Coturnix japonica: one gene and its partner. The protein of the gene in region 1 interacts with the protein of each later gene in a biochemical or structural test. Links are inferred from orthologs where the notes say so. Each region holds a gene or a part of one and is shown on either strand. Other genes may lie near its edges.

What was found. The genes of interacting proteins can lie anywhere in the genome.
Region 2: the proteins of FYB1 (region 1) and SKAP1 form a complex in vitro, tested with the Homo sapiens proteins (2 studies listed by BioGRID and IntAct, with this or other methods). The link is inferred for Coturnix japonica from reciprocal best matches to the Homo sapiens genes FYB1 and SKAP1.

What each region holds. Positions count from the first base shown.
Region 1 is NC_029547.1:11,245,129-11,250,248, forward strand, and holds part of FYB1 (FYN-binding protein 1), read right to left. Parts: coding exon 5,118-5,120; intron 4,148-5,117; coding exon 4,089-4,147; intron 2,940-4,088; coding exon 2,920-2,939; intron 2,168-2,919; coding exon 2,121-2,167; intron 906-2,120; coding exon 788-905; intron 1-787. UniProt on the Homo sapiens protein: Acts as an adapter protein of the FYN and LCP2 signaling cascades in T-cells. May play a role in linking T-cell signaling to remodeling of the actin cytoskeleton. Modulates the expression of IL2. Involved in platelet activation.
Region 2 is NC_029542.1:3,286,425-3,291,544, forward strand, and holds part of SKAP1 (src kinase-associated phosphoprotein 1), read left to right. Parts: intron 1-2,398; coding exon 2,399-2,504; intron 2,505-5,120. UniProt on the Homo sapiens protein: Positively regulates T-cell receptor signaling by enhancing the MAP kinase pathway. Required for optimal conjugation between T-cells and antigen-presenting cells by promoting the clustering of integrin ITGAL on the surface of T-cells.

The DNA of each region.
Region 1 (5,120 bases):
ATGATGTGGGAGAATCACTGTGGAGTTGCTGTGCACAGTGCATAGCAGAAAGCAAGAAAAATAAATCCACCTACTATGTACAAGGAAACCAAAGGGAACAGAGTGAGAACATCACAAATAAGTATCAATTAAAAGAATATGATTGGCAGTTTTTTAAACTGTGGGAGTGTGCTGACCATCAGCTACATAAAAATGACAGAAAGCAGAAAGAACTAACTCATAACTCAGATCTTAAGCTCTGACAGTAACTGTAGCTCCCATACAAATGTATCATACACCCTTCCAACCCATTTAAGCCAGAAGTCCCTCTGAGTTGGAGACTAAGGCAAGGGTAATGTGATGCTATTTAATGCTGAAATCTCTTAGAGGCTCAATATGGTTGTATCTAGCTTGAGTTATGCAAACAATATGAAGTATATGGTCCCCAATTTCCATTTTTATAAAGGGTTTTTGGTGCTATTCAGTGAAGGAAAATTATTTTAAACTAAAAAGTGAAGAAAAATGCTTTTAAGGCTTTTTTTCTTTTCCTAAATAGAACATAAGGGAACTTAATGAATACAGCATAAACACTGAAAAAACGTCTTTGTCTTCATTACAGAGTATGAAATCAGTCATATGCCAAACATAAAAGGGTAGGTGAAAACTGTACTCAGGATTTATCCAGGTGCTTGACCTACCTAGCAGAACAAATACACTTCTCACCCGTCTGCAAAACTATTTTGAACTCAACAATGCTGATTAATGAATCTTAGATGTCTTTGCCCAGTGTACAAAACAAAGTGCTTACTTTGAATTTCTTCCTTATTTCCTGCTCTTTCTTTTCTTTTTCTTTTTGTTCTTTCTTTTCTTGGTCCAATCTTCTCTTTTCTTCCTTTTCTGACTTCTTCTCTTTTTCCCTTGATGTTCTAGAATTAACAACAGTGCAAGTCTTAGTAAAGGTTTCTTACCCAACATCAAAAGCAGCTACACCTGACAGAAGACTACTTCTCCCAGGGAAACCAAAGAAGCAAATTCTAAACCCAAACACGGTTGTAAAAGATTGAAGAAGTAGCCCTCTCTCTTATACTACATACATAATCTAAAGCAGCTGTTTTCAAGACAATATAGCAGAAAGGAAGGCTGGCTCTGCATGTGCACGTCCAAACAGTTCTAGGCTAATTTTGATAAGGAGGCCTGGAAATTGGTAGCAAACTTAGATGCCAAATACATATCCAGGCCATCAGTGGTTCACAAAGCCTGAACTGAAGCCTGAACCTATCAGGATCATGCTATTTTAAACTTAATTGAAAGATATTCCAGTGGTCAACATAAAGTGTACTGCATTGTAAGTGGGCCTAATACACCAGGGTACATTGCCTGTGATGCATTTCATGCCAGACTGTACTAAGATGTGGGGATATAAGTAGGATGATAGTTACAGCTTTGCTGTAACTTTTCGAAGGGAATTTAACAAGAAATTAATGCTGAAAGTCATTCTACTTCAGAAACAATATTTTGGTGGAGGAACTTCAGAATCTCATTTATTCCAAAGGAATTAGAATGTTTCTTTACATCCTAGCATACAATGAATCCCATATACCTAGCTATTAGTGCAGTGAGACACTCCTCAGAATGAAGGGCTAACAAGTGAGCAGAGCTCTGATTTCAGCTCTACAGAAATGCCAGGAGTCTTGGTCCATGTGAGCTGTAAATCCAGTCACTCATACAAATTCACTTATATACAAAGCAAGAACAACCACAACAAAAGGATCTCTGTGAGTTCATAATACTGAGGGGGCTGACCTTGCTTTTGCTTCTAAGCAGTAATTCCAAACAGGGATTCATACATGTTCATTAGATCAGAAATCAGACTTTCCTTTTACCTAACTCACAGTAATAACATTGTTTTATTAAGGATTTTTTTTTCACCCCAGGGCATATGAGATAAAAGTTAGAAATAACCTGTGAACAATATGACTTTCCCTAAGTCAAATGGATGAATCCAATAATGCTTGGTAGCAACTGCACTGGAATCACTTCTATTGTGCCACATGAAGCACCTCTTCTAGGAAGCTTTTGCTAATAAAAATACAGGGGTTTGTAGGTTTTTGCTAATAGGCTACAGGGTTTTAAATTAATACCTGATGTCATTTATGTCCTCATACATCTCTCCATCACTTCCTTGGTCCTGTAAGACAAAAATCATTTAAAATGGTTTAGATACATCTGAAAAGAAGAACCTGTTATATGAGCTTTACAGACTATATAAAAACATTTACAGAAAGATTTTCATACCCATCCTTTTTTTTCTCCTGACTTTGTATTTATGATATCAGCTATAGTGCCCTTGATTGTTGCTATCACAGCAGCACAATGCTTCATCAAAAGTGGATGTTTTAAATTGCAATGCTAGTCCTGGAAACCCTTTATCTGCAATGATTATTGCATTGCTATGATGAAAGTGCCACAGTTAGTAGCAGTAACTAACATCCCACTCTGGAGTGCCTGGTATCTAAATGGAAGTCAGATTAGGGTCTGAGAACCTGTTTTAGTCCTAGTTCAGCCAGGTACTCACATATATCAAGACAAACCTATGCTCAGCTGACGCAAGTCATTTATTACTATAATGGAACAGGGCTCTTGTTTCTGGGAAAGCCCAATGAGATTAAATGTCAAAAGAAATAGAAGTTTTGTTTTGTTTTTAAAGAAAAGCAGCAGCAACAACAACAAAAACACTCTTTTTTTGTTAAAAAAGTAAACTAATGTCAAGCCAGCTTTGATAGTTAGCTCTGCTTACACAGTTTTATTTATGTCCTGCATAATAAATACTTCTACGATTTATTGTCAGTGTGGCCAGATTCATTCCACAACTCATTTTCTAATTAATTGGAAGTAACTTGCACTAAAAAGGATAAATTTATCAGGGAGGATAACGCTTACCCCATCTTTATTTCCAGGACCTGCGTAACCAAAAATAAAAATCAGGATGTTAATTTTCTGTTGTACAAAAGCAATTCAATCTAGTCTTAATTCTTTACAGACTGCTAAAACACAAGTGGTATTAAATGGAAATAAATGCAGGCTCTTACTTTCAGTGAGGATCTGAGAGTGTAAAAAACAGAGGTTTTCAAGGTACTTTTTCTTGTACATTGTAAAGTGGTCATACCTGCTTTAAACACTTCACTTCACCTGCTGTTTTGTAAAAAATAGCTTATTTTGCCACAGTTTTAGAAGTGAAAAATTTGTTTTCAAGATTCATCTGTGACACTGACAAACTTAACTATGGAATTTTAATGTAAAATCAACATTAAAAAAAAAAAGACAACTTGGTCTGAGCAGACCACAAACAACTTTCTTGCACCAACCCTGCAGCTGTTTAGGGGGTGCAAAGCTTTTCCTGTTAAGCCGGTGTCTGTCCTGAGCTGCAGAAGGAGGAAATCTGAATCCACCACTTCCTCCTCCCTGCACAGATAGGTTTGGTAAGCAAAGAGCTTGGGCTCAGATGCAGCTCCAGTGCCCACAGTGCTGTACAGCACGGATGGCCATCACTCTAAAGGACACATACTGTGCCTGGCACAGACTGATGCCTCCAGAAGAGAGATCAGAAGGCAGATTGAAATTCTTTGTGTTGCAATCTGCTTGCTTCTCTGGCTGCTCCTGGTACAGCACAGCCACTCACTGCCTTTTACAGAAGGCAGCTCAGAAAGAAACACTAGAAGCACAATCAAGATATTATTATTTTCTTAATCAAGTATAAAAAAATGCCTGGAGTGCACAGCTTCAACTCTGAAAGAACAGCATTAATTCGGTTTGGTTTTTAAAATCTGGTAATTTGCAGACCCATTATACTCAACACAACAACAAAACAAAAACAGGGAGACTAGGGGAGGAGAGTGGAAGAGAGATATTTAAAGCAGTTCCTGAAAGGATGTCATATTAATTGTAAAACAGCTGTTATGAGAAAAACTTCTTCGTTTATAAAACTGCAGTACCAGAATAATCAGTTACATCAATCACTCACAAGCACATTAAGATACAATATGCTTTTGCTTCTCTTACAAATACAATTTACTTACAGCTTCATATAGCTGTTATTATTTAAAACTTACCCATCCTACCCTGTAAAAGAAATTCAACATCATCATAGTTTTCTTCAGTGTCTGGGTTTCTGTAAATAAGAAAAAGGGAACATGTGAAAGCTATAAAGATAATTTTACGGTTGCATTTTCATATAGCTATTTTTCTGCTGCCTTTTTCTATTATTTTATAGAATGACAGGGCACCATGTTGAGCCTTATATGTTCCTTAAGTACTCATGCAATTCCCTAAGCTGCTCTTCATGTGATTAGGTTTCTCACATACAGACACCATGGTCTTGAGTATGGATGGAGAAAAGGAGCTGAAGGCTCTCGGACACCATGGAGATGAGTGTGGTATGAGAAATACAACAGGCACATGAGCTGACCGAGTGGAGTGTCGGTTGGTCATCTTAATCACACTCACAGATGAGGGCTTCTCACACACAGTATACAAGCAGAACACCAGATGTTTTGCACAATGGTAAATACAGCTCTACAGATTGCTCCCTGACTTGTATGGCAAGTGCAAACAGTGGACAGGAGAAACCACAACTTAAGAATAGGCCAGGTATAAGGGCTCTGGTGTTGCCGAAGTGCTGCCAAACCAAGAGAAGTAAGAAAGTGAAAATTTAGCTCGAAATTATATTAGAGATCTTTAACTTTTGAACACTCTATAATAGTCGAAGTAGGACTGTCAGCCTGGGTATTCATTCAATAGAGGGGTGTCACGGGAGCGAGGAGAGGAGAGCGGGACCACCCCTAACAAGCACCGACCCACCGGGACCGCCGCTGCCGCCAGGGGGGGACGGAGCACAGCTCCAGGGTGCGGGCAGAGCCCAAAGCGCTGCCGGGCGGTCCCATACGTCTCCCCGTCTGCCCTTAGAAGCGAGCTGCTGGCCGGAGGAGAGCTCGAGATTATCCCCAGCTTGTTTCCGGTCAGCTTGCACGCCATAAAGAAGTGCTCTCCCCTCTTCACCGCTGTAGGCTTGCCGATTAGCCGGCGGCTTTTCGAAGAAGGGCGATGTAAGACCGAGGTATAACGGAGGCTTCTAATATTACCGC
Region 2 (5,120 bases), on another chromosome or scaffold:
AGTGGTTCTTAATGTGACTTGAGTTGGTTTTCTGTTGGCAGATGGGTAGAAAAGAACAACAAGTGTTGGTTGGGGTGTGGGCACAGGAGAGATGCACACAGCCTCTAAATACCTTTCAGCTCTGCTCTCTGAGTGATGATTAACTCAGAGATTTAGTGCTGCCATTAAAAGGTTATTTACTCACCAGACTGGGGTGGCTGTGACATAACTCTTACAATGCTGTGCTCTGCGTGTGGGATTAAAGTGGATGACTGCAATTGCCTCTAGAAACCCTCCTGAAGCACTTGATGAAATCTCAACTGTTTTCCTTTTTATTCCTTCCCCCCCTCTCTTACCTTTGGTAGCTGCAGGAAATGAAAGGGAGAGTCCTGTAAACTTTCGGAGTGGATCACAGAGAGCAATCTATAAACATCAAGAATATAACGTTACTGACAAGCAGTAAAACTAACATTGGGGTGATTTACTCCGGAGCTGCTTACATATTGCTCTTCCTGATCCACTTGGAGAGTTTATGGTCAGGCTTTCTTTTTCATTTCCTGGTGCTATAAACATTGTGGCTGGCTCTGAAAAGGGCTCTGCCTGCTTTGCAGGAGGGACCACAGTTCTGTTATAACTTATCCAGCAGCTGATCTGTGCTGACATGGCAGCAAGTAAATACCATATTGCAGCTGATGGCATGCTCACGGAGCTGATCTGTGCTTAAAAAGGGCACAAGAGCAGCTGATGTTGGCCCAGTTTGTGGTTCTTGTTTGTTCTCATTGCAGCCTGCAAGGGTTTCTCTCGCTGGCTGATCTCTACAGTGTTGTCTTAAAGCTGATTTGTACATAATAAACTGTCCCTTCAGCCTCCATCTCTTCTTACATTAAGTTTCTCAGGGCAAGGTTATGTTCTTGGTGCCTAGATATGTGTATGTGGTTCTTACTTATGTTATTTGTAAGCAGTGCAAGTCCAGCACTGTTTTGTTTGTCCTAAGTCAGTGCTGTATCTTGGAGGGGGAATTAAAACAGTGTAGAGATGTGCTGAAAATGAAACTTAACCAAAGCAAAAGATCCAGCAGAGCCTCAGTGGGATACCAGGCAGGGTGAGGGTGTTCTCTCCTCCTTCTTCAGGCTGCATCTCTCTGCTCCTCTTCATCACTGTAAAGACAAAGTGGGAAGGGATTCCTGTTTGTGGGGGTGCACATCTGCCCCGCTTCCTGAGCACACAGCTTGCTCTGTCCTTGCTTCTGTCCTTTGCTTCAGAAAGATGCGTTTCTCTATTTCCCCTCCAGCTCTCAGCCTTTCTTATGTTTGCCATAAATAGGTGATGAAAATAAGAGCTCGTGACTTTAGCAGGGGGAGTTATTCATTTCTCCTGTGGCACTTTGATCTTCTGTGCTCGCAGGTAGAGGAACTGTTTTGTTAAGGAGCTATAAAGGTTCCTGGGGCATGCTGAGCAGTGCTGGCTGCTGTACCGGCAGCTGAAGCATAAGGAGCTGCAAGTCTTGCAAGCAGGATATTAAACTGACATTAGTGTCACAGTATGGGGCGTGAATTAAAGGTTGGAGAGGGCTGTGGGTGTACAGCATCACAGCTTTGAAGCCAAGCTTTGCTAGAGGAAAGCAGCAGTAAAGCTGCCGGAGGACAGGGATGATGATGCTTTCATTTACAGAGCAGGTGTGGTTGGAAATGTTCTGTTTTTCTAAGAGGCTTCTGTTAGGAGTATAAATATTCATCCAAATAGAAGGCACTTAATCTACCTGTAGTCTCTTTGTCTTTCAGTTCAGGTTAGATTTCTACACCTAGCTGTGCTTTTCAAGTGAGAGAGTATCACATTTACTTCTGCCAAGCTGTCCTGTTGGGCAAGCACAATGTATCTGAGCATTAGCAGAGAACGTGGTGTGATATATCTGTATGTGGGTGAGTGCACAACCAACCTAGTGTTCAATGCCTGCTCCTTAGGAGGGTTATTTCAGTGAAAACCACAAGCTGGGATTTCATTTAAGTGATGGGTGTAAGGTGTCCGCTGTATTAGAAGTGTTTTGGCTACTTCTGTGAATGGCAGCCTTTCATAGCAGTGGATTTTTAGGGTTTGGGGATGTAGGGAGGTATATAGGAGGTGTTGGGTGCTGCACACAACAGAGTAAGGCAGTGGTTAATGAGAGAAGTAAATGCATGTGGTGGAAGAGTGATGTTCATGCAAGGCATCTGACCTGAGCTAACTCTAATTGCTGGGTGTCAGTGGGGGACAGACCCACTGGAAGCTGTGAATCCTGGTGTCTCATGGTGGGCTGACAGTCTGTCTTCCTCATATCTGCACTAGGGCTTTCTGATCCTTGAGATGCTGATGCTGTTCTCATCCAAGGATGGGTAGCATTAGCTTCCCATTAGCTTTAACTTGTTCCTTTCCCTTTACTCAGATGCTGAGTGCTTCCTGGTGGATGGACTGCAGAATGAAAACTTGAGCCCTAAAGCAAGGGAGCAGAGGAACACGATTCTCTTTGGCTTCCAGCAAGCCAAAGCCAGGTATGTGTTGTCTCTGTATGTGTCTCCTAATGAACAGTGCCATAACTTGGGGTACTGCATGCTGTATTCAGGCAATGGGACAATTGGCCTGTGCTTTGGAAGATAATGAGCATTCAGGAGCTGCTATAATTGAGAGTATGCTGTGTCCTTCTGTTTACATCAGCTGGTTATATTTGGTTGTCTGTGGAGTTAACAGACTCCAAAGGTAGGCAGTGATGCTTCTTAAAGCAGGAAACATGATTTGGGCAGCATCTGTACAGCTCTTTGCATACGAATCTGATGCTCTTCTTCCTTCACCACGGTGCTATTGGGGGTTTTGTGTATAGGGGGGAAAATCCATTACTTGATGCTGAGATATGTGGATAAATCAGTACAGTATACAAAGGCTCACACTGCTGGCTTGCTGCTGAAAGTATCCATTCCATGTGTGGCTCCTGAGCCCAAATACACATTGCATGTAATCTGGCACAGTAAAAAGGAGAGAAGATGATTTCCTATGTTAAACCTCTGAACTGTGTTCCCAAACCTGATGACCTCAGCCTTGTTCAGGTCTTGAATGAGGGTGGGAGCTGCGTCACTTGGATTCAAGAGCAAAGCAGACAAAGGTTGTGTTGCGGTGCTAGGGGAGGATCAAGGAACATAAAACAGAAAGCATGTTGCTGGAGGCTTAAATGCAACTTGGAGCCTCAGCTGCATTATATTTCTGGCTGGAAATGTGATGTATAGCTTGTTGTTAGTGTTCTAGTTAAAAGATATGAGTTGTGTCATTTGAAGTTAAGACCTGACAATAAAACTCAGGGTGGCTGAGTGATGGAAGCATCCCATTGAAATAAAACTGCTGTCAAGTCCCTGAGATGTAGAGAGTTTTATCCTTTGGAAGGGCACAGCCAGATCCTATTCCCTGCAGTCCCACTGAAGAACTTTGCAAGATGCCCTGCTGTATCTTAATCGATCTTTCCTGCTGGCTAATTATGCATCAGTTTTACTCAGCAACACGGGACTGTGTAATTATCAGCCTGGGTTGCCCTGAATAATTGAAACAAACGGGATGCAGAAGATGGAAGCCTTTGGAAATGGGGCTGTGATGTATCTAAGGTGCGTCTGGCAGTGCCTTGTAGTGCTGGGGAGGAACCTTTTGGTGTGGGTGGGTGCAGAGGGCTGATGTGGCTTCTGAGACATTGCCAGGTAGTGACTTTGGGTTGGAAAGAGTGAAGTAAACAGGACTATGAAACTAAAGTATTCAGACATTAAGTCAAGCTTATATTTATTCCCAGCGATCTTGAGAGCTTAGGAGTGATATATCCTTGTATGATCCAGCACTAGGTCTGTCTTGAATGAATTTTACAACCAGTACCATGGAACCTGATCAATGTGTGAAGTCCTGGATGTTCAGGTTAAGATATGGGCCCCAGCCCCGCTGCTTATTGAAACAGATTGCCAGTAAATGTGGAGGTGGAAGTGAGACCCATAGTAAAGAGCACAGGGCACTGCTGATTTCCTCCTTGTGTTTTATTGCTCGGTGGCATTTGGAAATGGTGAGAAGAGCAGTGTACAAATGCTCTCCTTCTGCCCTGAGCCATTAACGCAATGGTTTGTGGTGGGAGATGACTGTAATGATGACTCTCTTTTTATCTGAAAGGCTCTGAGCAAGCCCTGCTCCTGGTAGGGTGCACAGGTCTGTCCCTTTGGGGCTTCTTGTGGCTTCGTGGCTTCTGCTCAGGAAATCAGCAGCAGTCATGCTCAGGAAGCGCTGTATAACACAGTATAGGGTTTCATTGTTTGGGTTCATCATGGACATAAGTAAACTGCTGAACTACCAGGGAGAGACACACGGTCTCTGAAAGGGAAGAGCTTCATCTCAGCTGATTATCCTGAGCCGCTCTCATAAGTGTTCCTGTAACTTCAGGTCTTTGTATGGCAGCTCTCCCCATGGCCTCATAAGAGCCCCCGCCAGGAGGGCCCTGATGGCTGTAACAGGAACAAGTGCTGGGGCTCTGTCTCCACACATTACCTGGGAGGATATATTGTTCCCCTCTTGCCAGGAGGAGTGCGGTAGGTAGGGGCTGGATTATATTTGCAGCTTATATATGTATATATATTGAGGCAGTTAAGGGTATTTCTGCTCAAGGAGCTGTGTTAGAGGCACTGCCACAGTGCTTGTGGGAAGGCTGTCACCATACAGCTGAGTTACGAGTCCCTGTGCTGTTTTACTTTCAGAAACCATTTGGTTATTTAAAGTGTGTCACTGCATTGAAAAAATGTGGTGTTTTCTTTTGGTTCCCCCCTCTCTTTGCAAACTTGGACCCTGTTCTATTTTCTGATTTCATACACAAAACCTGGCGGTATATACATCCTTTTTTCCCCCCCTTTTGGGTGTTGATAGTCTCTTCTACTTTATTTCTTTCCCCAACTGCATCCATTAGACAAGCCATAGAGAGAAGCTGGAGGTGTGGTCCCCAACAGGACAGTGACAGCAACATCAACACCTTGACCAACAGCTGAGGATGCTGCTCTGGTGCTGCTAAAAACCAAAGTGTGATGTATAGAACTTGCTGATAAAGCAGCTTTGGTTTAAGGGAGGGCAGGGGGAGGATGCTGTGTGCCAGGCTGGGGTTA